Rattus norvegicus: one gene and its partners. The protein of the gene in region 5 interacts with the protein of the main gene of each other region in a pairwise test. Links are inferred from orthologs where the notes say so. Each region holds a gene or a part of one and is shown on either strand. Other genes may lie near its edges.

What was found.
Region 1: the proteins of Dazap2 (region 5) and Pogz interact in binary tests that used the Homo sapiens proteins (3 or more experiments, as listed by UniProt). The two-hybrid records come from large-scale screens. The link is inferred for Rattus norvegicus from reciprocal best matches to the Homo sapiens genes DAZAP2 and POGZ.
Region 2: the proteins of Dazap2 (region 5) and Tent5b interact in binary tests that used the Homo sapiens proteins (3 or more experiments, as listed by UniProt). The two-hybrid records come from large-scale screens. The link is inferred for Rattus norvegicus from reciprocal best matches to the Homo sapiens genes DAZAP2 and TENT5B.
Region 3: the proteins of Dazap2 (region 5) and Epn1 interact in binary tests that used the Homo sapiens proteins (3 or more experiments, as listed by UniProt). The two-hybrid records come from large-scale screens. The link is inferred for Rattus norvegicus from reciprocal best matches to the Homo sapiens genes DAZAP2 and EPN1.
Region 4: the proteins of Dazap2 (region 5) and Maged1 interact in binary tests that used the Homo sapiens proteins (3 or more experiments, as listed by UniProt). The two-hybrid records come from large-scale screens. The link is inferred for Rattus norvegicus from reciprocal best matches to the Homo sapiens genes DAZAP2 and MAGED1.
Region 6: the proteins of Dazap2 (region 5) and Clasrp interact in a two-hybrid assay, tested with the Homo sapiens proteins (2 studies listed by BioGRID and IntAct). The link is inferred for Rattus norvegicus from reciprocal best matches to the Homo sapiens genes DAZAP2 and CLASRP.
Region 7: the proteins of Dazap2 (region 5) and Tax1bp1 interact in binary tests that used the Homo sapiens proteins (3 or more experiments, as listed by UniProt). The two-hybrid records come from large-scale screens. The link is inferred for Rattus norvegicus from reciprocal best matches to the Homo sapiens genes DAZAP2 and TAX1BP1.

What each region holds. Positions count from the first base shown.
Region 1 is NC_086020.1:185,125,904-185,128,072, reverse strand, and holds part of Pogz (pogo transposable element with ZNF domain), read right to left. Parts: intron 2,133-2,169; coding exon 2,108-2,132; intron 1,995-2,107; coding exon 320-1,994; 3' UTR 1-319. UniProt on the Homo sapiens protein: Plays a role in mitotic cell cycle progression and is involved in kinetochore assembly and mitotic sister chromatid cohesion.
Region 2 is NC_086023.1:150,977,949-150,982,037, forward strand, and holds the start of Tent5b (terminal nucleotidyltransferase 5B), read left to right. Parts: upstream 1-1,289; 5' UTR 1,290-1,443; coding exon 1,444-1,707; intron 1,708-4,089. UniProt on the Homo sapiens protein: Catalyzes the transfer of one adenosine molecule from an ATP to an mRNA poly(A) tail bearing a 3'-OH terminal group in an ATP hydrolysis-dependent manner.
Region 3 is NC_086019.1:77,786,612-77,790,700, reverse strand, and holds the start of Epn1 (epsin-1), read left to right. Parts: upstream 1-1,289; 5' UTR 1,290-1,492; intron 1,493-2,988; 5' UTR 2,989-3,092; intron 3,093-4,089. Other genes in the region: U2af2 (U2 small nuclear RNA auxiliary factor 2), read left to right, coding at 194-328. UniProt on the Homo sapiens protein: Binds to membranes enriched in phosphatidylinositol 4,5-bisphosphate (PtdIns(4,5)P2). Modifies membrane curvature and facilitates the formation of clathrin-coated invaginations. Regulates receptor-mediated endocytosis.
Region 4 is NC_086039.1:63,420,186-63,424,423, forward strand, and holds the start of Maged1 (melanoma-associated antigen D1), read right to left. Parts: upstream 2,801-4,238; 5' UTR 2,700-2,800; intron 2,145-2,699; 5' UTR 2,116-2,144; coding exon 2,071-2,115; intron 1,374-2,070; coding exon 675-1,373; intron 124-674; coding exon 1-123. UniProt on the Homo sapiens protein: Involved in the apoptotic response after nerve growth factor (NGF) binding in neuronal cells. Inhibits cell cycle progression, and facilitates NGFR-mediated apoptosis. May act as a regulator of the function of DLX family members.
Region 5 is NC_086025.1:133,592,215-133,596,336, reverse strand, and holds the start of Dazap2 (DAZ-associated protein 2), read right to left. Parts: upstream 2,801-4,122; 5' UTR 2,691-2,800; intron 2,636-2,690; exon of another isoform or gene 2,567-2,635; 5' UTR 2,402-2,566; coding exon 2,389-2,401; intron 1,241-2,388; coding exon 1,122-1,240; intron 437-1,121; coding exon 191-436; intron 1-190. UniProt on the Homo sapiens protein: In unstressed cells, promotes SIAH1-mediated polyubiquitination and degradation of the serine/threonine-protein kinase HIPK2, probably by acting as a loading factor that potentiates complex formation between HIPK2 and ubiquitin ligase SIAH1.
Region 6 is NC_086019.1:88,370,844-88,374,343, reverse strand, and holds part of Clasrp (CLK4-associating serine/arginine rich protein), read left to right. Parts: coding exon 1-35; intron 36-117; exon of another isoform or gene 118-3,010; coding exon 3,011-3,095; intron 3,096-3,500. UniProt on the Homo sapiens protein: Probably functions as an alternative splicing regulator. May regulate the mRNA splicing of genes such as CLK1. May act by regulating members of the CLK kinase family.
Region 7 is NC_086022.1:83,190,623-83,194,122, reverse strand, and holds part of Tax1bp1 (tax1-binding protein 1 homolog), read right to left. Parts: intron 1,939-3,500; coding exon 1,813-1,938; coding exon of another isoform or gene 1,759-1,812; intron 1,392-1,758; coding exon 1,320-1,391; intron 1-1,319.

The DNA of each region.
Region 1 (2,169 bases), on a different chromosome or scaffold from region 5:
ATATTTGTCCACAAAGGATTGTTTTCCTAGATTTTGTCCGAAAAATAGCAAACACAGTGATTTAAATTAAAGAAGAAAAAAGGGTCACAAAAACATGGTTTTAGCAGGAGTAACCAATGGGCCAGCTCCTCGGCTCAGAACTGATCATTACTGACTGGTGTTCATAATAACCCACAAGTTCACAGGAAGAGTCAATGTCGGGAGTGGTGGCATAAATTGAAATTATAAACCAAGTACCCCACTGGTACCCCTCCTGTCTAAGCCCCTCTAACCTCCCTCAACTTTCCTACCCGATTCAATGATTCCATAGCCTCAGCACCTAAATCTCCATCAGATCTAGGTCAGCTTCCTCAAAGCCATAGAAAGACTCTGTCTCACTTTCTCCCTCAAAAAGCTGATGAAGGCTTTCAGGCTCAACTGTCTCTTCAGGCGATGACCTGGGTCGGGGGGCAGAAGCTGAGTGCTCCTCGGACTGTTCTCCATTTAGCTTTAGCTGCTCCTCGAGGGAGGCAATGAGCTCCTCCTGCATATCAGCGTTGCGTGTGGGTGAGTTAACGTTGCCATCAGGGCCTGGCAGAACACTAGCCACAAGGAAGGACCGCTGAACTAGGTCTGGGGAGTCCCCAATGACACTCAGCACCTCACCCAGCCAGACCAACACCAGCTGAAGCAAGACATCAGAATCACAAGCAGCATCTGCCATTTCCCGAGCCTGCTCCTTCCACTTTTTGTGCAGGAAGTTCTTAACAGTTCGTTTGATGCACACGTCTAGTGGCTGGATTTTAGAGCTACAGCCTGCGGGAACCACCGCAGGCAAAGTGCTAGAGGCACTGAGCAGGGCCAGCACCTCTTCTGACAAGTGAGTGCGATGACAGTCCATCACCAGCATGCTTTTGCTGTGCTGACAAGCTGTGTGCTTCTTCCACACACGGGTGGACCAAAGCTCCATGATTTCATCATCACTATAGCCACTGTCTTTAGCCTCTAGTAATATAGAGTCTGGCACATTAGCAAGCCGATTCGCTTGACCTCGGAAGAAAACCAGGGTGGGGAGGACAGTGCCATCTGCTAGGATAGCCAGCACGACGTCACACCAAGGCTCCCCTGTGCCCACTGTCTGCAGAGCGTTCTCCTTCCGGTCATCACTGCTCAGCACCTCTGTGTCCAGAAACAAAGAGATCTCATCGATAGCCACAATCATAGACAAAGGTAAGTCTTGGTTGTGAATCTGCCGCTGCACAAACTCAATGAAGAGTCCAGCATTTTCTGCTACATGCTTCGGTAACGTGTGGGCTACAGCTCGCCGGGCATGGGGAGTGAGGTGGTGCCGGAGCATAAAGCGCACAGCCCACTCATAGGAGATCTTAAATCCCCCTTCCAAAGAGCGTCCGATTTTGGTGGCCTTCTGAAACAAGGTCTCTTCATTTACAGGGAGCTGCTGCTCTCTCTGGATCAGCACCCATTCAGCCAGTTTTTCTTCTGCCTCAAAGCTGAGATATTTGCCCTCTAAATTCTCTCCCTGAGAGGCCTGAAAGCGTCGAAGCCAACGGCGAATTCGCCGCTGGGGGTTTCGGAAGTGTTCAGCCGCCTGCTCTGTGTTGCAGCACAGGGCAAACAGCACTACCCGAAGCTTCTTCACAGACAGCTGCTCTTTTTTGCCAACCCCACTGCCACCACTTCCAGCACCTGATGCTGGTTCAGGCTCCTGGGTGACAGGGCTTCCCTCCTCCTGTTCATTGACATTCAGACACTCAGTCCCCTCTGTGGCCAAGGGTGGCAGGGCAGAGGGCTGTGGGTGAGTGGGGGTTGCTGGTGGGGTTGCAGTTGAGGCTGGTGATGGAAGTGCCTGGAGCACAGGACCTGCCAGCTCCTGAGGCTCTGCTGAGGTGGCTCCTACAGGCTTCACAGTGGCAGCTTTGTTAGGGAGGAGAGGAGGTGGAAGATACGTATTCTTCATGCTCCGGTCCAACACTCGTTCAGGAGTCTGGCCAAGCCTAAGGGAATGGGGATAGGAGGCAGAGAACAGAAACGTCAGTTACACTTCAGGATTTAAATCGTAGTATTTGTAAGAGCAGACTCTGCAAAGTGCACATGAAATGACCATTACCTCGAGTAAGACATCCAACTGAGCCCTGGGAAAATGAGATTAAAAAAAAAAAGGTTAGCTCA
Region 2 (4,089 bases), on a different chromosome or scaffold from region 5:
ATTATGGCTGGACCTCAAACACTTTCATCGGTAGCCTCAGGGATCTTGGTAGGTCTAGAGTTCAGAGAAAACTCAGCCAAAGATCTCCTCTTTATTTTCCCTGTTTTGTGACACCAGAGGTTGAAGCCTGGGTCTCCAGCACACTTGGTAAGCAATTGGTCATAGCTTTACATCTCCAGTCTTCATTATTATTATTGTTGTTGTTGTTGTTGTTGTTACTCTTATTATTAAAGACAGGGTCTCACTATATAGCCCTACCTGACCCAGAACTCAACAGGTAGACACAGATAACTGAACTTCTGATCCTCCTGCCCACACCACTGGAAGACTGGGGTTACATATCTGGCCCAGCACACGGTGCCTTCTCCAGTGGTTTCCAGGAAAGGGAAACAAGACCAGCCTGATGCTGGGCTGGTTTTCAGAAAGAAGTAATGTGTGTTCTGGTCCGAGGGCAGGTCCAAGTTGTGCCCTGACAGACACTGAGGTGTAGTAGCTTCCTAAGTCCTGGTTTCTCCTTCCCTGTCTTTTACTCCTTAGCCTGCCTTTCAGGAGACTGGAAGGCTACAGAGTTTGATACATTATTATGAGGATGACAAGAAAAATACTGCAGTAACGAACAGGGCGATTCGATTTCTATTCTCCCTCCTCCTCCCCATGACACCTATGTTTAAAATCTGAAAAGGAGAAGGCGGTAAGACTCAAAAGTAGCAATAAGACTCTATGATCTCTAAAGAGAAAGAGAAAAAAAATTAGTGATATCCATCCTAGAAAAATTCTGGGTCAGCCCAGATGGAGCAGAGAGCTGCATAGATCTTTACACCTCCATCAGGACCATAACCAGCACGCACACGCTACGTAATGGTGGGTAATGACGCCCTCTCTCTACGCAGATTTCACCTCACTTAAAATGGAACAGGTACGCCAGGCATGCTGTGATTCGAAGGGCCAATCAAGGAAATAAATTAGAAAGCAGCCGCCTCGTTAACACTGCAACATTTCTCTACAGAAACCTCTGTCGCTGGAGGGCGCTGTCCCTCTAAGTCCCGCCAGGCTCGAGCCAATCGCAAGCCCAAAAGAGGGAATTCGGTCCGAAGAGAAGGGGCGGAGAAGGGGCGTGCCTTTCGGCCAATCAGAGAGCAAGCGATTCCCTTGCAAAACTCCGTTGGCCAATGGTAGGGGGAGGGATGAGAGGCGGGCATCCTGCTGTGTGACAGCTGTGCCGACCAATGGGCGTGCGGCCCGCGGCCTATAAGTGTCAGCTGGGCCCGATCCGCCTGGCTCTAAGATCTGTTAGTCCTCCCTGCGGTCGGAGTTGTTCCCTGGGTTTGCCTCGCCGCCGCCGGGTCCCCGCACCCCGCCTTGGCCCGTGCACAGCCACTCTCCCTGCCCTCCTCGCCTTCACCATTCCCGGGTCTCTGCCGTCGAGGCACCGGGGCCGGGTGAATGATGCCGTCGGAGAGTGGAGATGAGAGCCTGGAGCAGCCAGCTGCGCAGGTGGGGACCGGTGCAGCCTCGGCAGTGGCCACGGCTGGGGCGGCCGGCGGCGGCCCGGACCTGGAGGCCTCCTCGGCCTCTCTGGGACGGCACCAGAGCCGACTGAGCTGGCCACAGGTGAAGCGGCTGGACGCGCTGCTCAAAGAGCCCATCCCCATTCACGGGCGAGGCAACTTCCCCACGCTGAGCGTGCAACCCCAGCAGATTGTACAGGTGAGGGGGACCGTGACAGGGTCGGGGCTGGGGGGTGGTGCTCTGCTGCAAGGCACCTGAACTCTGCGATTGGCCTGGCAGCTAGGGAAACTAAGGAACTGGAACCCGGGCTACCAGTTCGGCTCTTCCTGCACCCTGCTGAGCTTGCCTGTCAGCCGTTCTGGGAACTCCTTATTCCCTTGGGAACCACTCACCAAGACCCTGGCTGGGAGGTGGGAAGGAGATGAAGGAGGCACTAGAATGGGGCATCGCCCTGGCAGCCCCCAATGAAGAGTGTATATACTTGATTCCAAAATAGCTTTTCTTCTTCTACTCCACATCCTTAGTAGGGTTCTAGGGGCACTCTGCCCTTGTGTCCCCACAGCCCTTGGCTCAAGAAATCTTGGCTAGGTGAAACAGTTCAGAAGTCCTTGGGGAAATCTCCCTGCCTCCCACGTGTTGTGGCCAGGCTGGAGACCTCACCCCTTTGAAGATAGCATCAAATTTCCATTTTAGGTGTTCCTCCTCCTGTAAGGCTGGAAAGGAAGGCGGGTCCAAGGTTCAGACCCCAAAGCACCATCTCCCTCCTGAGGATCAGATTCTGTCAGCTGCCCCTTGCATCAAACGCCACCTCTTCTTTTTACCTAACCCTGCAAGGGTTAACTCTTAACTTAACTCTTTCCGTGTAGAGCCAGAGCCCTATGGTATTCTGAAATACCAGAAGATGTCTGTTCTTTTCTTCTTCTTCTTCTTCTTCTTCTTCTTCTTCTTCTTCTTCTTCTTCTTCTTCTTCTTCTTCTTCTTCTTCTTCTTCTTCTTCTTCTTTTCTTTTATTCGGAGCTGGGGACCGAACCCAGGGCCTTGCACTTGCTAGGCAAGTGCTCTACCACTGAGCTAAATCCCCAACCCCCAGGATGTCTGTTCTTACCCCACCCCCCATTCTAACTGAGTGGGAGGATGAGCTACCTAAGGCTATCCAGTGAGATGGAGGTCAAGCTCAGGGAATCCTGGAGCCCTCCAGGAGCAGATGGTACGGTTTCCCACCCCTCCCCAGGTTCCCAAGCTCAACATCTAGTCCTGGAGTCCCTGGATAGTGAAAATCAGAAAAGTTAACTAATGCTAGTTCCTGTGTGTTACTGCCAACCACTGTCTTTACACACAAGCCAGGTAAAGCTGGACGCATCACACACACCCCCTTTTGCTATAGCCTTCCCCCCCCAATTGCTTTCCCCGTCACCCCGCTATAGCTATAGCTATAGCCGACAGTGCCCTCCCTAGGAACAAGGAATGAGGTGGAGGGGGTGGGGACGGATTCTCCTGGGCTGACTCACTGGCTGTCCCAGTCGGGATGGCTAAGGCATTCCATGCTCTCCTGACGTTGCCTGGGTTATTAGTAAATGGCTTTGGCCTGTTTTGTTTTTTGTTTTGTTTTGTTTTGAGATGGGGTCCTATGTTTTGCCTGGGCTCCCCTCAAACTCAAATGATCCTCCTGCCCCAGCTTCCTCAGTAGCTGGGATTACGGGTGTGTTGCTACCCTTATGCTGGCTTCTCTCCTGAGGAAATACCATAATCCCAGGCACGAAGAGAAGGAAAGGGGGTGCTCACTCGGGGTGCTTGGCATGATTAGGCCTCTCTATAGGGAAAAGTATCTAAACTGACGCTGGGAGCTTGAACGTGACTGGGTTTCGACCTCTGTCTCCCAGTCATGTTGGGGGTTGAGTCAGTGGGAGTCAATTTCATGGCATTGGTCCTCCTGAACTTCTCATCCCAGAAGGGGAGCTGTTAGCTGTGGAGTGGAGAGGTGGCAGAGGCCTCCGGGCTACTGGGTTCATTGTTTATTCCTTCTATTGGGCTTAGTGGCCCCATCTGTTCAGTGGATGGTGTTTGACTACTCTGCAGAATCCTTTCTGGTTCCAGACTCCCAAGGGACTACACGCCTTCACCTGCCTATGCAGTGAGTCTGTCTCCTGGTGGGAATCCACAGCTAATAGCTCTTTTTTTTTTTCTCTCTTCTTTTTCTTCCTTTTTCTTTTTTTCGGAGCTGGGGACCGAACCCAGGGCCTTGCGCTTCCTAGGCAAGCGCTCTACCACTGAGCTAAATCCCCAACCCCAGCTAATAGCTCTTAAAGCTGTTGGGATGTGAGGGGCTGCACGAGGGAGGAGGGAGACGTTGGGGGGAGAGGGAGGAGCCTGCTAGGACTTCTCACTAGTGTTAAATTGTCTCCAGGTTCAAGAATGGAAGCCTTCTGCTTCTGAGCCCACCAAAGTTTTCCCTACCGCAACAGTCTGAGCAGCTAGGAAAACAGATCCTTGCTTGTGCCTGGGGGACCCACTTTCTTTTTTTTTTTTTTTTTTGGAGCTGGGGACTGAACCCAGGGCCTTAGCTCTACCACTGAGCTAAAT
Region 3 (4,089 bases), on a different chromosome or scaffold from region 5:
CTCTGTTTCCATGATGTCTCTCATCTGTACTTTGTTCTTGGGTACTGGAGAATGTTTGGGTGAACAGCCTCACACTGAATGGAAGGCCTCTGTGGAGTGCATTGAGGTGTTCTCTCATTTTCTGTACTTAAATGAATGCTGAGTAGTTGCTAGGAGCCAGTTTTGTTCACAGAACTGCCTCTTGTTCCTACAGATCTTTGTGGAGTTCACCTCTGTGTTTGACTGCCAGAAAGCCATGCAGGGTCTAACCGGCCGCAAGTTCGCCAACAGAGTGGTGGTCACAAAATACTGTGACCCTGACTCGTACCACCGTCGGGACTTCTGGTAGAGGTGGCTGGGGGAGGGTGGGGGCAGGGCTGGCTGGGGACTTTCCCCCCCACCTGTCCCCTCCTCCTTTCCCCCCTCTGAAGATGATGGGCAGAGGAGTGACAGCCGAATGACAGCCGGCAGCAACTGGAATGGCAGCAATTAAGGGGGGTGGGGGGGTGGGGGGGCTAGGGCAGGAAGGGGACTGGGCAAGTGCACACAGGCCCACAGACACATGCACCCACACAGACACAGAGGGAACGGGCTGGGATGGGGACTGTGTGCACAGCAGGGCGGGTAGGACCCCCCACAGCCCCTTCCCAAACAGCCTCTTAACCCTTACACCCCTTTCCTCCTCTCTTACCCCATGGTAGGAACATAGCGTGTTTATATTTTATGGCCAAACTATTTTGAATTTTGTTGTCTGGCCCTCAGTGCCCTGCCTTCTCCCTTTGCAGGACCACAGCTCCCGTCCTCTGGCTTTGGTCCTCCCTGTTCTCCACCCTGGTTTCTTAAGTAGTTGGTTCTTCTTAGTCTTCCTGACCCTCAACCCGTGGTCTCAGTCCTGCTCCTCCTCTCTGTGGCAGTTTCATATTTGCTAATACGAATTTGCTCATTAAACATTTTGTTGTATTTTACTTTATGGCGCCCATCTGTGTCCAGTGTGTCCGCCCTTCTCTTTCGCCCGAGGGTGTGGAGGGTGGCACCTAGGGAGGGAGACAGGCTTGAGGGTCCTGCAAGGGTATCTGTGGTGGAGAGGCTTCAAGGTAGTAGGTTGGATGTTTCAGTATATCCACTGCTGCGTAGATGCGGAAGTGACGCAAGGGCACAAGGACGCGTCCCGTGCGCCGGAAATGATGCCGGGGTGGGTTTGGTTGCGGAAGTGGAGGCTGCCGGGCGAAGTGCAGAGGGCGGGGCACGCGGGGTCATTTCCGCTTCCGGTCCGCCGCCACCTTCGGTTGCTTCCCGTCCACTCGGAGGCTCCCCTCCCCCGCCCGGCTCTCCGCGCCCCTCCCGGGCGCCGGGGCGGCGGGGCCGTCGCCGTGCGGCCCTCCGTGCGTCTGTGCGTGCGCACGTGCGCACTTCTGCATCCCGCAGCCCGGCGCGCGCCCGGCGACACCGAGGCCGAGCGGGGGCAGGGGTCTGACCGTCATGACCCCCGGGAGCCCGGTGTAAGCGGGCCGAGGTGAGCGAGGGGCGCAATGCTGGCCTCCGTCGCGGCAAGTCCGGTGTTCCGACCTGGGCAGTGGCGCGCGCGGGTCCAGCCAGACTCGGAGCCGGTGTTCCAGCCGCTGATGGCTTGTGGCTGCTTTTGTACCGCTGTGCCCGGGTCGGGGTTGCCTGCCGGTGTGTGTCTTTTTTTGGGATTGTCAGTGTCCCCGTCTCGCGTGGCCCTGTTTGTGTTTCTCTGCCTCTGTGTTTCGGTGTTTGTACAAAAAGGTTTGGAGGTCCGAGTGCTGTGTGTTTGTGTCCTGGATCGCTCCGTGTTCCTGTCAGGATGCAGTTCTTGTCTTTTCTGGGTTTCTGTGTCTTCATTTCCCCAGACTCGTTTCCCTCTAGTGCATATTTCTCTCCCGTTCTTGCTATCGTCCCCAGGTACTAAATTCCTTCCTAGGAACCTATTGCTTTGGTTTAGAATGTGCCTCCCAGGTTTTTGAGTCTCTGGTGTTCTGGTAGGAGCTCTGGCTGTGGAATCCAGAGCCCCCGCTGCTTTCCTCGGTCTTGAGACTTCAGTTTTCTAGCCTTCTAAACGGAAGCATTCATAGTTCCTGCACCACAGGGTCTCTGCGCATTAATTGAGTCGGTGCTGGTAAAGTGCCTAACAATGTCTGGCCTGGAGTTAAGCATGTGATTACTATTATTAGAGGTTTTATTTCGCTTAGTATTTGATACCAGGTTTTTGAGTTCCCCTTGGGAGAATTTCGCTATATTGTTTGCACTGCTTAATAAGCAATTCTAAATTAATCAAATGTGGAAAATTGACTCATTTTCAGCAGCATTTGTGAGATCTAGTATGTTTTTTGAACATGCTTGGAGTAGGTAGTTGGTGTTAGGATAGTGCATCTTTATATGCCACCCTTTGGAAATGTCTTTTTCTGATAATTATAGCAGCCAGGGGTACTGAGCGCCTACTATCTGTGGGGCACAGATCCAAGTCTTTTATGTACCCATCTTATTTAATCAGCAAGCTTGCCGGCTAGCACCCCTCCCTTTGTTACACAGTTAGGTGAACTGAGTCACAGGTTTGTTTTGCTGGTTGCTTATGTGGCCGGGATTTGAGTGTAAATTTTGTGTTCTTTTAAATTATATCTCCTGCCTCTCCCACCCCCAGGTCAGAGCATGTGTGTGTGTGTGTGTGTGTGTGTGTGTGTGTGTGTGTGTTTTGTTTTAGGGTCCCTGCCTTTCTGTCCTCCTGCCTTGCTGTCTTCCCCATGATTCTGTATTGCTTTTTTTTTTTTGCCTGAGTTTTTGTGTGCCTCTTTCCTTCTCTCCCTCCCTCTTACCCCTCTCTTTCATGTGTGTCACATCTGTTTGTCTTCTGGTGTCTGTTCAGACCTGATTTGGGACCCTGCTACTTTCTTTTCCCCTTTGCCTAGTTATACCTGTTAGCAGGTACTCCATTCTCTGGCCTGAGTTCAAGGTAAAGAGCAGCCTCTCCCATTCACCTATGTCTTCCTTCAGGTTGGATCATGGTAGGGCTCAGTAAATCTCCCTCCATGGCTTGTTGGAGAGGCATAGACTGTTGATCGGAGTCTACTCTGGACCCAGGCTGCTCCAGTTGTGAGGTGTGTGTCCCTGGGCAAGGTGCTAATGGAGTACCTCCTGTGTAAAGTGACTTTGAGTCATGGATTTGTAAGAATTAATTGAGTTGATAGCTTAAAGGACTTAATGGGTGCCTAGAAGGTTGTGGAAGTGCTTATTAATATTATCTAGATTTCTGCCCTTGATGCTTTCTGTCAGCTGGTCACAGCACAGGTTAATTTATTTAGGTTAATTTAAAAGCATGCATTTAATGGCACACACCTTTAACCCAGCACTTGGGAGGGAGGGACACGTGGATTTATCTCTTCAACTTCCAGGATAGTCAAGGCCTTGTAGAGAGATGTGTCACTGATCCCCCCCCCCCCCCCCCCCGCCCCCAAATAGGAGTTTATAGAGGTAAAGTAGGTTTGATAGTTGAGTCTGCTTTGATATTTATGATGTGACCTTGGCCAAGTTATTTAACTTCCATGAGGCCATTGTCTGCATTCAGTGTTAAATGAGACAATATGTGCCTCGTGCATAGCACAGTTGGTGTCCATTAGTGGGGACTCCTACATTTCTTATCTCTCTGCTCCCTTGAGCCTTGAGCTTCCCTCCCTACCCTCAGGACAACTAGTCCCTGGGCATCCCCCAGCCTCCCACTACCTTGGGCTGTCTTCTCTGTCTCCCTACCATTTTTTAAGTCCCATCTTTGGCCTCTTTTGCCATGACTCCTGTCCCAGGGTTGTTTGCTTCTTTCTTTCTCCATTTCCTTCCTGCACTGTTGTTCGAGTGGTTTTTCCCAGTCAGCTTCTGTGCAGGGAAAACCAGTATTGTTTCCACCACTGTGGGTCTTAGGTAAACCATAGTTTCAAAATCAAGACAAATAGCTCTAAAATCACAAGAATCCACTCACAGGAGCATCTCTGGGAACAGTGACAAAGGCATTTGAGTTCGTATAAGTAGCACCCTAGGGATGTGTGGCAAGTCTGGTGAGGAAGGAGGAAAAGTTTGTTAGCAGGACAGGACAGGGTATCCCCC
Region 4 (4,238 bases), on a different chromosome or scaffold from region 5:
AGGGGGTGCGCCAGGTGGGTTCTGAGTGGTTACTGGAACCGGAGCAGACCTCCAGTTCCCGGAAGCCAGCGAGGCACGCCTTTGGTCCCCATTGCTGTTCTCTTCCACATTCAAGTTATTAATCTGTATCATTAGAGAGAAGAAAATTTCAGGGTCACTATTAATCCTGGCACCCCCAGTAGCTATCCTAGGAAGTCCCTAGGAATCCTCACCTATACCTCACTAGCCATTAGCCACTTGGTTCCTCACTGTCTTTCAGGAAAGCATTTCATCTCCAAACCAGAGAAAGAAAAACACAAAGTGGAGCCCGGGGTTTCTCCCTTTCCTGTGCACTGCTTGGTTTCACCCTGAACTCATTTCTCCCTGACTGTGGTCTCTCTTGCTTGTGAGGTGGATCTTCAAAATCTAATGATAATTCTGGGTGAGCCTGCCTAGCTTAAGACATGGTGTTTACTGTCAAATGTAAGACGGTCTGCACACATACTGCCTGTGTCCTTGTATCAACTCATCATTAATCTGTGGACAACCGGGGGTCAGGAATAAATATTTATTTCAGCTCCCCCTACAACTTTGCCAAAATAGAGATATATATGTGCCCTTTATTTTGTTTGGAGCAAAGGAAATTCAAAGAAAGGAGAGACCTCAAAGCAAAGGGAAGCCAGCAGGGATCTCACCTTGCGGGTCCTCTTGCCCCGAATTATAGTCCGGGACTCCACATTCTGAGCCTGGGAGCCATCTGCTGAGGTCTGGGCTGCTGCACCGTCAGTTTCAGAGATACCTGCACTGGTCCCTACGTCAGCCATTTTGGCCTGGTTTACATTCTGGGTCTGGGCATCAGCTCCAGGGATCTTAGTGGTGTCATTCCAAGCCTTAGCTGTCTTAGGCTGGTTGTTGGTCATCTCATTGGCACTGGGAGACTGAGTGAAATTGTAGGTGGCACTGGGGCCAGCCTTAGTAGTGGTATTCTGACCCTTAAAGGCCATTTCAGACTTTTTAGCTGCTGATTTGCCTGTGGATGCTGCATGGGAAAAATCAGAGGCAGCATGTGGACCTTTAGAGGTGGCATTCTGTGACTTAAAGGCCACCTTAGGCTGATTCTTGGGCATCTCCTTGGCATTACGTGCCTGAGAGTAATCATTTGGCCCCTTTGTGGTGGTATTCTGGGCCTTAAAGCCTGTCTTAGGCCTGGCAGCAGCTGCTGAAACCTCAGTATCAGCCTTCTCATTGGCAGTTGGGGGCTGTGAACTCTGGGGACTAGCATTCGGCCCACTGGCAGCTGCTGTGGCCTGGCTGGTGGGCGGAGCCTCGGAGATCTGGATGGCTTCCATCAAGGTCTGCACAAGCAAGGCGCTGTCTTCTACAGAGGCCTCTGCCTGCAAATACAGGAGGGGGAAATTTTAATCTCTGGGCCTTACAAGCCAGACCTGAAGGAGGGGCACGGCGCAACGCAGCAGGGGAACTGTAGACAGGCGTTACAGTACTCAGACATGGGGGCAGAGGCGGGTCAAAGGGAGGCGGGGCGGGAACAAAATTTAATTAAAGGTAGAGGGGGCAGGGCAAGGTGAGGGACAGTCGGAGGCAGCAGGGGCTGGTGCGGAATGTGGTGCAAGCACTGAACCCCGAATGGGTTTAGAGACAGACTCGTGAGGCTTGCCGTGGGGAGCTCAAGACCTGAGGACGGAGGAATTGAGGAGGATAAACAGAGGAGGGTGGAGGGGGAGTCTCGCGGCGTGGAGAAAGGGAGGGTGGAGGCGAGAGGTTGGGGGATGGGGCGACAGACTGCTCTACACGCGTCAGGGTTATGGAAAAAAAATGGTTCCTTACCCAACCCGCATTCTCTGGGCAGAATGCCCTGACTAACAGGGTCTCCCCTTTCTCTAAGCAGGGACCGATGGCTGAAAAGGGCCGCCCCTCCCCCCTATTCGATAAACGCTAGAAATTTGAGAGCCCGCGGAGTCTAGGCCGGAAGAAGGGCAAAATCAGATCCTGCCATTTGCGCGACCTGAGGGGCCAGGGGTGGGCGTAATCTGTCAGCAAGGAAAATGGAGGAATTGGGAGCGGGGTTCTCACCTGGAAGCCGCGGAGGCCTGCACCGCCGTCCGGTTTCTGAGCCATAGCTCTTGTCTCTCTGGCAAGAGCAGAGCCTGAGGGGGGTGTGGGAGAGGAACTAGGCATTATACTACAGAAGGAAAATACGTAGGACCGAATTGTGTGTGCGCGTGTGGTTTGATTATGGGGGCGGGTGAGGTGCTGGGTACGGGGAGAAACAGGCCTAACTGAAGCGGGAAAAGTAAATGGTCGTCCCGATAGACAATCTAAAATTTCCAGAAGCTGACAGGTAAAAGCTTCAAATCCGCGGTTTGGAATCAGATAAGCGCTCTGAATGCGGTAGTTTACAGGGGCGGGGGGGGGGGCGGTTAGCGGGGAGAGGTTCGCGTCTGTAAAGTTGAATTAAGGCTTTGAATCTAGAGGAATCGTATAACGGATCAAGGTCGGGAAATAGGATTCAGTGAAGGAATTGGATAAAGATTCAGGGAATGAACGGGAGTTCGAATTAGAAAGGGTCGGGAGCGAGGTGTAAGTCCGGGGTAAGGCAGAGGAGGGGGTTTCTGAATTCAGGGAAAGGGGATTGGGATAAAAGAATGGGGGAAGGGCGCCACACCAGGGGGGCAGATGCCCAGTCCGGGGGCGGGTCTCACCTTGCCTCAGGCCCCAACCCCAACCCCCTTCGTTGCTTCCTTCTTCACGACTCAGAGGATCGGGACTGCTCTGCTCCGCTCTCTGCACCCGCACTCTCTCCTTGTCCAGGAGAAAATGCCAGCGCGGCAGCTCGGGCGACCCCGCCTCTTCGCCTAATATACCACCCACCGCCTCAGGAAGCCCCGCGCATGCGCAACAGATCACTGTCCAAATAAGAGTCCCGCTTGCTTTCCCAACAAAAGCTTCATCCTGGAGACCTTGTCGCGCATGTGCACTTGGAGGAGATCCCGCCTCTTTGCCAGCACACTATCCCACCGCCAACCAGGTTGACAGTGTACAAAGGTTCCTCCTCCCCTTCTCCTTACGCATCCACTCCTTCAACAGATGCGCAGCGCCTTTTGGTCCCACCCCCTTGCCCAACACACCAGCCCCCTACCTTTATCCGCAATGCGTCTCTTCTCAGTCCCGCCCTTTTTCCCGAACTCTCTCTAGCCAGGTCCGCAACTACCTCCCACCCACTTGCTTAGAGCCTCTTAGGTAGGCCTCTGCGGGGGGTCTCTTATTTCGACACAAACTAGGCCTCTGCTGAGTTCACGCACTTTGCAATGCAGAAACCTTAAAGGCAGGGGCAAAAAAAAAAAAAAAAACAAAAACAAAACGTGACAGAGCTACCAGGGCAAGGGTCAGCCTGGGGATTCTATAGGTTTCCTCTCACGAGACTCAGAAAATTAGCGTTTCTCTCGCCCTTTTTGCAGTTTTTGCCAAAGAAATATTTCGTGAGGGGTGGGTCCGAGAGGTGAGGGAAGGGCGTAGGGCAGTGGGCTCTGTCCTGGAGCTTGGTTTTCTCACAGGCAGCCTCAGGAGATGGATGGAGGTCAACATTCTCATTTAACACGTCAGGTAGCTAAAACGTAAACCCGCTGTATGGACCAGGGCATTGAGCTAGTAACAAACAGAAAAGACAATATTTGCTTAAACACACTGGTAATCCCAGCACTCCGGAGACCGAGTTCTAGGCCAGCTTTGCAACTCTGAGACTTTATCTAAAAGACAAACAAACATCCATGTGGGGCCTGGATGATCCTGACTGAAAATCTGCTCTGAGAATAGAGGCATTCCTTAATCCTCTATTGGAATAACAAGCTTTCCTCTCCCCAATATTTGTTCCAAGGGAATGAGGCTTGTGTTCTAGGAGGCCTGGTGTATGTGGGAACCCTTCAGGTTCACTCTGTGCTCCTCTTGGCAGGCAGTCTCCAGGAGTGAGACGGCGGGCTTTTTTGGTGCCTGCTGGAGCAGCCAGGGTAGTCAGGTGTGTCTGCCCTGTTCTTGCGGAATGAAGCTGGGCTTGGCTTTAGAATTCCAAGATGAGTGTCTGGCCTATCTGTCTCTGGCTGTGTGAGCCCCTGAGACATGGTCACTTTAGTGGACCTCTCTGAGCCTAATTTACTCACTACACAAAATAGGAATCCCAGGAAGAGAGTCGTGTCCAAGGACACACAGTCTGCTGTGCCAACATGGCTGGAGAAACAAACGCAGAA
Region 5 (4,122 bases):
CAAATGAATCTGATTAACTCTAAGGACTGTGCCCAATGCCCTGATTGGCCCAGCCACATTTCTGTCATGAGAGGGCAGCAGCTGTGCCAGTCCTGACTACTACTACCCTGGGATGGTAGGAGAATGAGTATGAAGTCATTTCAGACGGTTCAAGTGCACGAGGGCTGAGCTCTTGGTTAGGCATACTCACAGGAATGCTGCCAGTGGTGGCACCAGCTCCAAATCTGGCACCTGCATCGTACCCTCCTTCCACCAGCACTGCCGAGCCAGGTGGATAGATGGGACCAACTGGGTAATAAGCCATGGGGATCGTGGAGCCTAAAGGCCCAACAGCCACAGACTGGGCCATAGGCAGATACAACGAGGCGCCAGGAAATGCAGCTGACATGGTGGGGACTGTGGCAGCCCCTGGATGAACAAAGCTTGGACGATAGAGCTAAAAGAAGCAGAAGAGAAGGCAAAATATTTCTGTGACACTGGTATTTGAAATTCCTCTAAGTATTGCTGAGACCATCTCCTGTACTTCAGGCTAGCCTGCAAGAATGTAGGAGTGGATGACCTTCAACTCCTGACTCTCCTGCCTTGACCTCTTGACTGATGGAAATAAAAGCCTGCACCACCAAATCCAGCTCACATTGGGCTGGAGACCAAATCCAGGGCTTGGTGCATGCTAAGCAAGCACTCTACCAAATCAACTACATCCCCAGCCCCTTGTTTTGTTTTGGAAATGGGGTTTGGTTCTATAGCCCAAGACAGTCTTGACCTCAAGCTCCTCCTGCCTGAGCCTTCCGTGTGCTGAGACTACTGGTCTTACCACCACGCATGGCTCATGAGTCCATTCTCAGTTCTTGTGTGTGTGGATCACACTGGTTACTGTCACTGGCACACAGTTTCTGGGTCATTTGCATCCACAGCTACTACTGGGCTCAAGGGACCCAAACTCAGCCTAACTCAGCATGTCAAATAACAAGCAGATAATGCGTTCAATTCCAATGGTAATTATTAACTTATGTTTTAGACGGTTCATAGAGCATTCTCTGCTTCTGAATTTGAAGATTTAACAATGGGGGAGGGGTCCAAGAGTGTATTCAAATAGTTAAAAGTCTAGCAAAGTGCAGTACCTCTGAGTATGCAGGTGGAGCATCAGTATAGGGTGGAGCCTGAGGAAGATGTAAGGTCTGAGGATATACTGGATTCCCAGGAGGCTGCACAGGGTAGGTAGGCTGTGTTGGATATTGACCTGGAATACAAAAGGGGAAGAGAGATGTTGTCTATCAAATTAGGGAGGTGGCAAATAGGAAAGATGCTCCTGACAAAATGCCACTCTTCCTGAGGACCCAAGTTCTGTTCCCAGCATCCACATCTGACACAACCTCTTTTCAACTCTAGCTTCTGTCTTTGTGGGCACCTACCCTCACATTCACAGACAATAAAAAAAATTTGTAAAACGGGCAGTTAACTTGGTGAGCTCAAGCAGAAGAATTGCAAACAGATTGCCCCACAGGGCCTTAGCTCTTAGAGCCAAGAAAATAAAAGATTGTCTCTGCACCCTCACAGTGGAAGGTGCTGGGTTCTGACTGGGCAGAAGGCGCTGTTCCCACTAGCATACTGATGGAGGAATCAAGTGTAACTTGGCCCCGTTCCCTCCCAAATAAAGGACAGGTCTGAGAACCCGTGCCGGGGATTCTGGATTGCTGGTGTTTTGGGGGGACTTCTAGTCCGGGTAGTCTCCCACGGACTGTGCGGTAACCAGTGCAGACTCTGTGGAACCCACGGTTCTGCGTGTTACCTCACGGGTTGGTTCCTACTCAAGGTCGACTTCCAAAGAGTGAGTGAATGGAAGTTAACCATGAGAAGGGCGGCGGCTGGGGGCGGGAGGTAAACGCGACCATGGTCTGACAAACATTAGCACAGGCACGACTATAAATCCTGGCCCTGAGGAGGGAGCGCGAAAAGTCGAAGGCAGGCGGGAAAGGATCCTTGAAGGCCGGGACTGGGCAGCAGAGCCGGCACCTCACGAGTTAAGCTCGGCCAAGGCCTGTTGTTCCGAAGCGCGGCGCCCCGCCTCTGCCGGTCCTCCATTGGCCTACCCAAATCCCTGCTCTAGCTCCCCATTCGCTCCAGCCGGTGTCAGTCACGGAAAAACACCCCCACCTCACACACTGGAGCCCGCGGCTCCAAACTGCGCCACAGAGTTTATGGGGCCGGGGCCCGGAGAGCCGAGTTGCTGCGGTGTGTGGGGGAGGGGGGGCGGACACGTCAGGTGCGGCCCCGCTCCGCGGCCTGCTGAGGAGAGCGGCCCTGACCGCCCCGAGCCCGCCGCCCCCGGGCCCACTCGACCCGAACCCGCCCGCGTCCCCGACGACCTCCGCCGCTTCCCGGCCTTGCCTTTGCTGTTCATGGTGGCTCTAATCCACTTCCACTCGGCGTCGCGGACGGTTATTTTTCTCGTCCTCTTCCTGTTCGGAGTCACTTCCGTGTCACGTGACGCCCGTCCACTCTGCGTCAGTCGATGCCCGAGTGCACTGCCGCCGGAAACCCCGCCCCCTCGCAGGCCCGCCAGTCGCTGCAAGGAGGGCGCTTACAGCCCCGCCTTTCTCGGGTGCCCCGCCCTCCCTGCGCGCTCTGCTCTCACCTCGCGCAGCTCCTTCCCGCGCGGCCCCGCCCTCCCTGCGCGGTTTCCCCCTCACCTCGCGCTTTAGGCTCAACTCATGCCCTGCCCTTCCTGCGTGGCTCCGCCCTCCTCGCGCTCCCCGGGTTCCCCGCTCTTCCTGCGCGGCCTCGCCTCACCCGGTGCCCGCTATCCTCTGCGTGGCCCCGCCCTCCTCGCCCACACCGCTCTCCCGCGCGGCCCCGCCCAAACCGCGCTCCCCTCCCTCACCGCATGCCCCGCCCTCCCTGCGTGACTCCGCCCTCCCTGAGTGGTCCCGCCCTCACCCCAAGCTCCTCATTCCTGCGTGACTCCGCCCTCCCCACGCTCCCCGGGGTCCCCGCTCTCCCTGCGCGGCCCCACCTCACCCCGTGCCCCTCATACCTGCGTGGCCCCGCCCTGACCGCGCTCCCCGCCCTCATCGTGTAGCCCCGCCCTCCTTGCCCTCCCTGCGTGGCCCCGCCCTCACCGCGCACCTCCTCCTCACCGCGAGCCCTTCCTCCCCGCATGCCCCGCCTTCACCAGTGCCCCGCCCACCCCTCACACCGGGCCCTGAAGTTCGTAGAGGGCTTGTCTTAGGGCGGCGCCCTTGCTCTGAGCCACCTCTGGACCTCAGATCCTAGCCTGTCCCGCGTTCCGGTTCTTCCAGGCCTCCTATTGACGGTCCAGCGCCCGGGGTCGGTGACCTTGCCCCCGCGCCCGGATCCGTGCGGAGGTAGACCGTGTCCCCGCGCCCTGCTTGGCGCCCTGATACAAACCATGACACCGCATCAAGCTCCTGCCCTGAGATGGACCGTGCCCCGCGCAGGCTGACCCTGGCCTGGCACGTCCTAAGGGGGCCTGTAGTCTCCTACAGACGTTGTGTGTGCCTTAGCCCACTCCCAGTTGTCCTGAAGGGTAGAGGCGACGTCTCTTAGGACCGTGATTACACTTTTCCCGTTTCCTCATGGGCACGCACAGAGTGAGGAACCGACGCAGCTGTCTGCAGAAGTTGTGTTGTGCGCGCTCAAGGAGACGGAGAGGCTCTGGAGCGAGAGGCCCTCGGTGAACGGATTCTGGATTCGTCCAACACCAAGAAGGCCTTGCTTGTGTGTCAGGTGACTATCACAGTTTGCAAGGCGTCCTGTAAATGCAGTTTCATCCAGTCCCACACAGCAGCCCGAGAGGCAAGCGGGCTTATCTGAGCATCCCTGCTTCTCCAACAGAACACTGATGGGGCTGGTGGGGAGGCTCAGTGGTCAAGAACACTTATGCTCTTCCAGAGGCTGATCTGGTTCATCCTGGGGACCACCTGCGCATGCGTGTCGTAGGTTCACGCAGACACAAAAATAAACATTTGAGAAGAAAAGAAAAACTGATCTCGAGGGCAGGTTACAGACTCAAGTTTTGTGTTCTGCCTTCCAGGTTCCGGGATCAGGATTTCCATTTTGCTTTCCTGTAGACACATAGAGCATGTATAGGCTGCACTAAAT
Region 6 (3,500 bases), on a different chromosome or scaffold from region 5:
CTACCGAGGCCTGGTGCAGAACGACTTCGCCGGCAGTGAGTGGCGGGGCGGGGCGTGGGGCATGGGGGCCTGAGGCTGGACCACCTAGACAAGGCTCACCCAGGTACTTGCTGCTGGTCACCTTTGGTTCTGTCCTAGTGTGTGTACCCTCCCCCCTTTTGGGTCTGCGTCCATGAATCTGGCACAGGGTCTCTGTGGAGTTAAGAGACTGGAGGTCTCTGCCCAGGCCACATCTATCCCTTCCCTCTGATTCTATACAGAGCTCTTTTCCTAAAAAAGGAGGGAGGCAGGCACCAGCTTCATGGGAGAGGGGAAGAAGCTCTTCCTTGTTATGGGCAGAGCCCCGAACATGCCAAATCTGGCCTTTACTGTTCGCTTTTGTGAATGAGAGTCAATGGTCCAGGAGGCAAGGACTTTCCTCTGGGCTTCCCTGGGAGGGTGGATCCTCTGAGCAGGCTTCTCTGTCAGGTCATCAGGGCACACCTGCATGTGGCTGGGATGTGGCTCAGTGGTGGAGCACTTGGGTGTGTGAGGCTCTGGGTACCAGCTCAGGGACTGGCTCAGAATTCTCTCATGGAAGAAAATGTGCCTGCCTTGAAAGCCTGACAGCCTGAGTTTGCTCAGGAGACCCCAGCCCTGACCTCTACACACATGCCTCGTTACCTGTGCACATGGCATGCATGAGCAGATGGAGACTGGTTCCGTGCCCAGCACTGCAGACAAAGCAGATAGCACCGGGTGACCCTGCATGGCTTCCGGCAGGAGAGGACTCAGTAGTCCCCCCCTCTTGTGTTCTGTGCACACAGATGCTAGGAAAGTGCTCGCCTAGCGAGCTGCACCGTTAGACCTGGGATATTCTTCTTACTCTTTGTATGTTTGAGACATGGTCTTACTCTAGCCCGAGCCGGCCTAAAGCTCACGGTCCCCTGCCCCACCCTCCCCAGTGCTGCAGCTGGTCCCCAGGCAAGGACCGCTATGTCTAGTTTGATGGCTCCATTTTAGACAGAACTTGTGGGTGTCTGTCTGGATATGACATCTTCCCTGCCTCTGCCTAAGCATGGAGAGCTCACTGGTGGGCGCCCTGGGCCAGGGTCATCCACACAAACCTCTTCCCGGCCGGTCTCACTCCTCCCTGTGGAGTGTTAGATGGGTCCATGGGTCTGCAAGCCTTGCTTCTGGCTGACACAGGTGGCCCTGCATGTGGGCTTCCTAGTCCCAGACTTCTGTATTTCTAAGATGCTTCTATGTGCTTAAAATCAGAGGTTGCCACCTCCTAGCAGGCAGTGCAGCCTTAGAGTCAAGAAGTTTGTCGTTTGTCACCATGGTGCTGTTATTTTTTTTTTTTTTAAAGATTTATTCATTTATTTTATATAAGTACACTGTAGCTGTCTTCAGACACACCAGAAGAGGGCTTCGGATCTCTTTACAGATGGTTGTGAGCCACCATGTGGTTGCTGGGAATTGAACTCATGACCTCTGGAAGAGCAGTCGGGTGCTCTTAACCGCTGAGCCATCTCTCCAGCCCTATTTTTTTTTTTTTTAAGATTTATTTACTTATCATATATAAGTACACTGTAGATGTCTTCAGACACACCAGAAGAGGGCATCAGATCTCATTACAGATGGTTGTGAGCCACCATGTGGTTGCTGGGAATTGAGCTCAGGACCTCTGGAAGAGCAGTCGGGTGCTCTTAACTGCTGAGCCATCTCTCCAGCCCTGGTGCTGTCGTTTTTGCCCTTAGTCCAGGCCACATGGTTCCTTGCAGCTGGAGCCTGGGCTTCTCTTAGTCCTTCAGTCACTCCTACAAGCAGTGTGTTCTGTGCTGCTGTGGGGACGGGGCCCCAGGGAGAGCCACTGAACAAACCTAGGTGGTCTAAGGGATGCTTCGCCAAGTGTTCCTGAAGGGAAGACAGACAGCAGGGCCGATGTGTGCTTTCTGCTAGCCCAGGGAAAGTAGATTCTAGCTCCTAAAATTAGGTAAACAGAGGTCCTGGAGAACAGTGTTGAAGACAGGCCAGCGAGCACTGGGAGAGGGCAGTAGGGCCTTCTGCTAGGATATGCAGACTAGGCAGGAGTCTCCTAGTCCCAAGGAGGGGCCATGCTTTGTCACCTAGCACAGACCCTGATGCCCAGACAGAAGAGCTGAAGCACTCAGACTGCCACAGTGGCCCAGCACCAGAGCTGCCCTAGACACTGAAGCAGGAAGGCCTCAGGTTCAGGGCTTGCCTGAGAGCCTGAACAACTTGGAGACCCTGTCTCAAAAAGAAGGCTGGGGATGGAGTTCCATGGTAGAGGACTTGTTCGGCCTAGGTTTACTCTTTTTTTTTTTTTTTTTTTTTTTTTTCCCGGAGCTGGGGACCGAACCCTGGGCCTTGCGCTTCCTAGGCAAGCACTCTACCACTGAGCTAAATCCCCAACCCCCTAGGTTTACTCTTATGCTCCTCACTTGTTCCCTTTAAAGAGGAAGGGGAGCTTAGCTGAAGGGAAGGGAAAGGACTCACATGAGCCCCAGTCCAGAGCTGAAGGGAGACTGGCTGCCTCAGTACCCTGGGAAGGAAGTTCTGAAGTGGATGCTGGGGGTGTAGGAGAACAGGATCATCAGACACTCCATTAATAGAAGCCAACCCACGGGAGCACACGGGAGCACACGGCAGCCAGTGATGCCCAACACTTATAGGCCTTTATGGTTCTGGAGGCCAGAGAGGCTCCATGACAGTGGTAGGGGCCCTTAGGTCCAAAGTACTTACTCTCTGTCAGGGATCCCATTTTATAGAAGAGGGAGCTGAGACACAAGGGTCAAGGGTTAACTTAACGAGCCAGGTCACAGTGTGAGTGGGTCATCTGGCTGATGTTATATACTGTGGTCACTTGGGTCCTAGACAGAAGAGTGATTTGAGATAGGTGACCCTGCCTTGGTTGTCCCCCTCCCACTCCCTCCTGTGTCTTTGTGTCCCACTGCACTCACATGTGCCTGGCTGGGCTGACCTGTGTGTGCCTCTCCTTGCCCAGTCTCTGAGGAACAGTGCTTGTATCAGATCTATATTGATGAGCTGTATGGAGGCCTGCAGAGACCCAGCGAGGATGAGAAGAAGAAGTAAGTCAGGGTCTGGCCTGATGGGGTGGGCAGGGACCGGCCTCCCTACCCCTTCATGTCAGCCAGCACTTGATGGGTGCTGCCTTCATATATGTGGAGAGGGGGAGGCAGTGACAGTAGACAGGCTCCACCCAGGTTTGTCGCTCCTGCCTTGCAGAATGGGAGGTATAAGTCCTGGGGTGGGCTGAGGAAAGGCCGCCCTCAGAGTCAGCTTTAAGTCAGGAGCTGCGAGGAACGTGGCTGATGGGGAGTCATAAAGTTCTGGTGCCAGCATGTAGCGAGTTTGCAACCCACAGGGACCTGGTGGCATCAGTGCTGCCAGCCATCTCAAAAGCCAGCCTGGCTGGGTGCTCCGACCTGGGAGCAGCCACATACAGGATCTGTTTCTTGACGCTCAGCCGTGGC
Region 7 (3,500 bases), on a different chromosome or scaffold from region 5:
AACAGACACAAAATATTAAACAGACTGTTTGACTCACAATGCAAATACTTAAAAACTTTTAACGTGATAGAAACAATGCCATACTACAGGAAACCGAGAACAAGTTCAAAGATATAATAATAATAATAATAATAATAATAATAATAATAATAATAATAATAATGGTGGTGGTGGTATAGTAGTAGTAATAGCAATATTACTAGTAAAAGAAAGCAGATAACAAGTGTCCAACACAATGTTCCTGAAAAGGTTGGTATTTTTAAAACTGTCAATAAAGCTACTGATCTCAGTATATTTCTTCCATCAAATTTTTTCAAAGGCAAATGCTATGAATTATATTTGCTCCATTAGTTTCTCCATTTAACAAATGCTTGACTTCAAACAGCAGGTATTGTAAAGGACTGCAGATACAATGAGGAAAACAGGTACAATGTGCATTCTTCACAGACATGCAGTTAAGTAGATGAGACAGACACCAACAAGCATAAACATACACATACATATCTGCATATTTAAAAATTATGGAAAGTATTATGAAGTAGTTTAATAGTAGTACCTAACTGACCTGCAGGAGAAGCAAGCTTATGCAGCTGAGTCACTGGCCTATACAGGAGGGCAATGCTATCTCACAGTGACAGCACAACTGGCTGCTGGACACTAGTGAATTAGCAGACTATTGTCAAACCACAGAATACAAACATCAATATGAGAAGACAAAAGGGCTTTCCTGACAGAATGACAAAAGACAACCAGGGAAGTGATGAGTCTGAAAATCTTATTCTGTAGCAGAGTGACAACCTGAAGATCATTCCTTAGGCAGATCATCCAACAGCTGCACATTCTACTACACCACGGAACTCTGCCCCTGACTACTAATGCATCTGTACACACCAGCAAGCATCAAGCTAAAACAGAAGACACAAGTTTCACAATTGTAGTTCTGTTTAAGGCTTGAACTTTACATTAGCAAGAAACAGTAACAATCCTTCTCCTTTAGTTAACAGATTCAAGAAAATACCTATGTCTGAACAAATACGCAATTAAAAATTCATTTCTTCCCTAAATTTGAGTATTTTAAACTTAGCTTATTGTTAAATGCAAAGTATGTGTTGGAGCCCAAACTAGCAATTTTCACCACTTGGCATATTTCTCAAAAATTGGCAGATGTGGCATCTGGAAATGAGAATGGTACACAAATTACTGTTTACTAGCAGGAGGTATAACAGTGAAGACACAGAGGAAAGCTTTCAAAGAGAAGTCAGACAAGAGAAAGCAAACACTGGTTACAGGCTGTCCACAGCGAGTGCAGCACTCAATACCTTCTCCCTTGAGAGATTTTCCAAAAATGAAGCCAGGCAATTTATTTCTTTGTCTTTCTCTGCCAACTGTAGCTGAATTTTAAAAAAAGGAGAAATTATCGTTAATATTTTTACCATCTATTTTCTCCTCATACATAGGATCCACTTAAATCTATACTATAGATAGATACCTGAAAATATAATGAAGCCTATTATTATATATAATATGTACTAAAAACTTTTTTAAAAGGTAAATTTCAAAGTCCACCTGAACCCACAGAACTAAAGCCACATTAACAAATGCATGTGGGAGGCCCTTTTCTCAGGCTAGTAAATAACCTGTATGTAATTAAATATCCAGGACATCTGCATGGAACCTGTGCTTGGCTGGTGTTTTATGGGGGGCACATGGATCAGGACCGGGCTCACTAAGCACCATGGGTCAAGCCTCTGAACTTACACTGTAACTGTCCTCTAGCTCAGCGAGTTCCAGTCTTACATTCTCTGAACTTACACTGTAACTGTCCTCTAGCTCAGCGAGTTCGAGTTTTACATTCTCAGCAATTCTCACTTGCTCTTTCCACTTCAGCTCCATTTGCGCAAGTTCATCAGCATATTTATTGCATTTGGCTTTCTCATCCTACATAAAATTAAAATTAGTCAATTAGTAAAAACTTCACACCTCCACAAAGCAGATATCCATACAGGCAAATGTGATAATTACTGTAACAGTATAAAGCCACTATGTTTACTAAGTAAGTCATTTTTTTTTTCTTTTTTCCGGAGCTGGGGACTGAACCCAGGGCCTTGCGCTTGCTAGGCAAGTGCTCTACCACTGAGCCAAATCCCCAGCCCCTAAGTAAGTCATTTTATAGCTACACAATGGAGTAACACACATCTACTTAAAAAGGTAAGTGGATGACCGTGTGAGGTGTCATACTAACAGCACACTGCAAAACAGAGTGTATACTGTAACCCCACTTAACTTACAATTTGCTTTCAACAGTTAAATATGAGTGTCAGTGTTGTACAGAAAAACACAGCCCAATCGCCATGGCTCCTGCACTTGGATCAAGAATGTACTTTTTAATCACCCTACTCTTTACATTTCTAAGACAAAAACTTTTCATGATAAGTATTATTTCACAAAAGTACTCTTTTGCAAAAGGAGGAAATCTAAATCATGCACTTTTATGATGACTCTTTTTCTAAAAAACTCAAGAAAGAAGTTACAAATAGTGAACAAAAAGTAAATAAGCCAAGTGCATTTAAATATTTCTTTCAAGACGGAAGTTCAAAAAATAAATTGAGCAACGCCAGCCTTCTAAACTCCATAGCATACCTTCTACACTTCCTTTTTCTTTTTCTTGTTTTTTTTTTTAAGATTTATTTATTTTATGTATGTGGGTACACTGTAGCTGTCTTCAGACACACCAGAAGAGGGCATCAGATCTCATTACAGAAGGTTGTGAGCCACCATGTGGTTGCTGGGAATTGAGCTCAGGACCTCTGGAAGAGCAGCCAGTGCTCTAACCGCTGAGCCATCTCTCAGCCCCACTTCTGCACTTCCTAACATACAAACAACATCTCCAAGTGCTTTACAAACCTCAATGTAAAATCCGACAATAAAACTTCTGGATGGACCAGGAGTGCAGCTCACTGGCAGATCACTGGCCTAAGGCCTGGGTTTGATCTCCAAGCACAGCAAAAGCAAAACAAGTAACTCCTGGGACAATGCAGGGGAATATGTTTAATACCTTGCAGAATGTGCTTTATTTAAAAAAAAGTACAAAATATAAACAAAATTGATACTTTGCCACAATTAAAATCTGATTTTCTAAAAACTTTAAGCAAACATATCACACATAAGGGAGACAGTAATGTCATCTACAAATGACAGGCAGGCAGTTCTGACACCATGGCCACTGGTCGTGCAGTATATTAAATAGATTTGTGATGTTCTTTCTACTCTAGTCTGAAGAGTTAATTCTTTGGCCAACTTGCCAAAATCACCACCACATGTATACAACATAGCCACCCCTGCTTGCACACGCACTTAGCCTTTAAATAACTATACAATTGGGCAAAAATCTGGTTTCCATTCTTTTAGAAAGAAAAAAATGCATCGCATTTATAACAACACAAGATTTTTTTTTTAATATGTGAAACATTTACAAAAAGAGAACTGCAGGGTTAAAAACA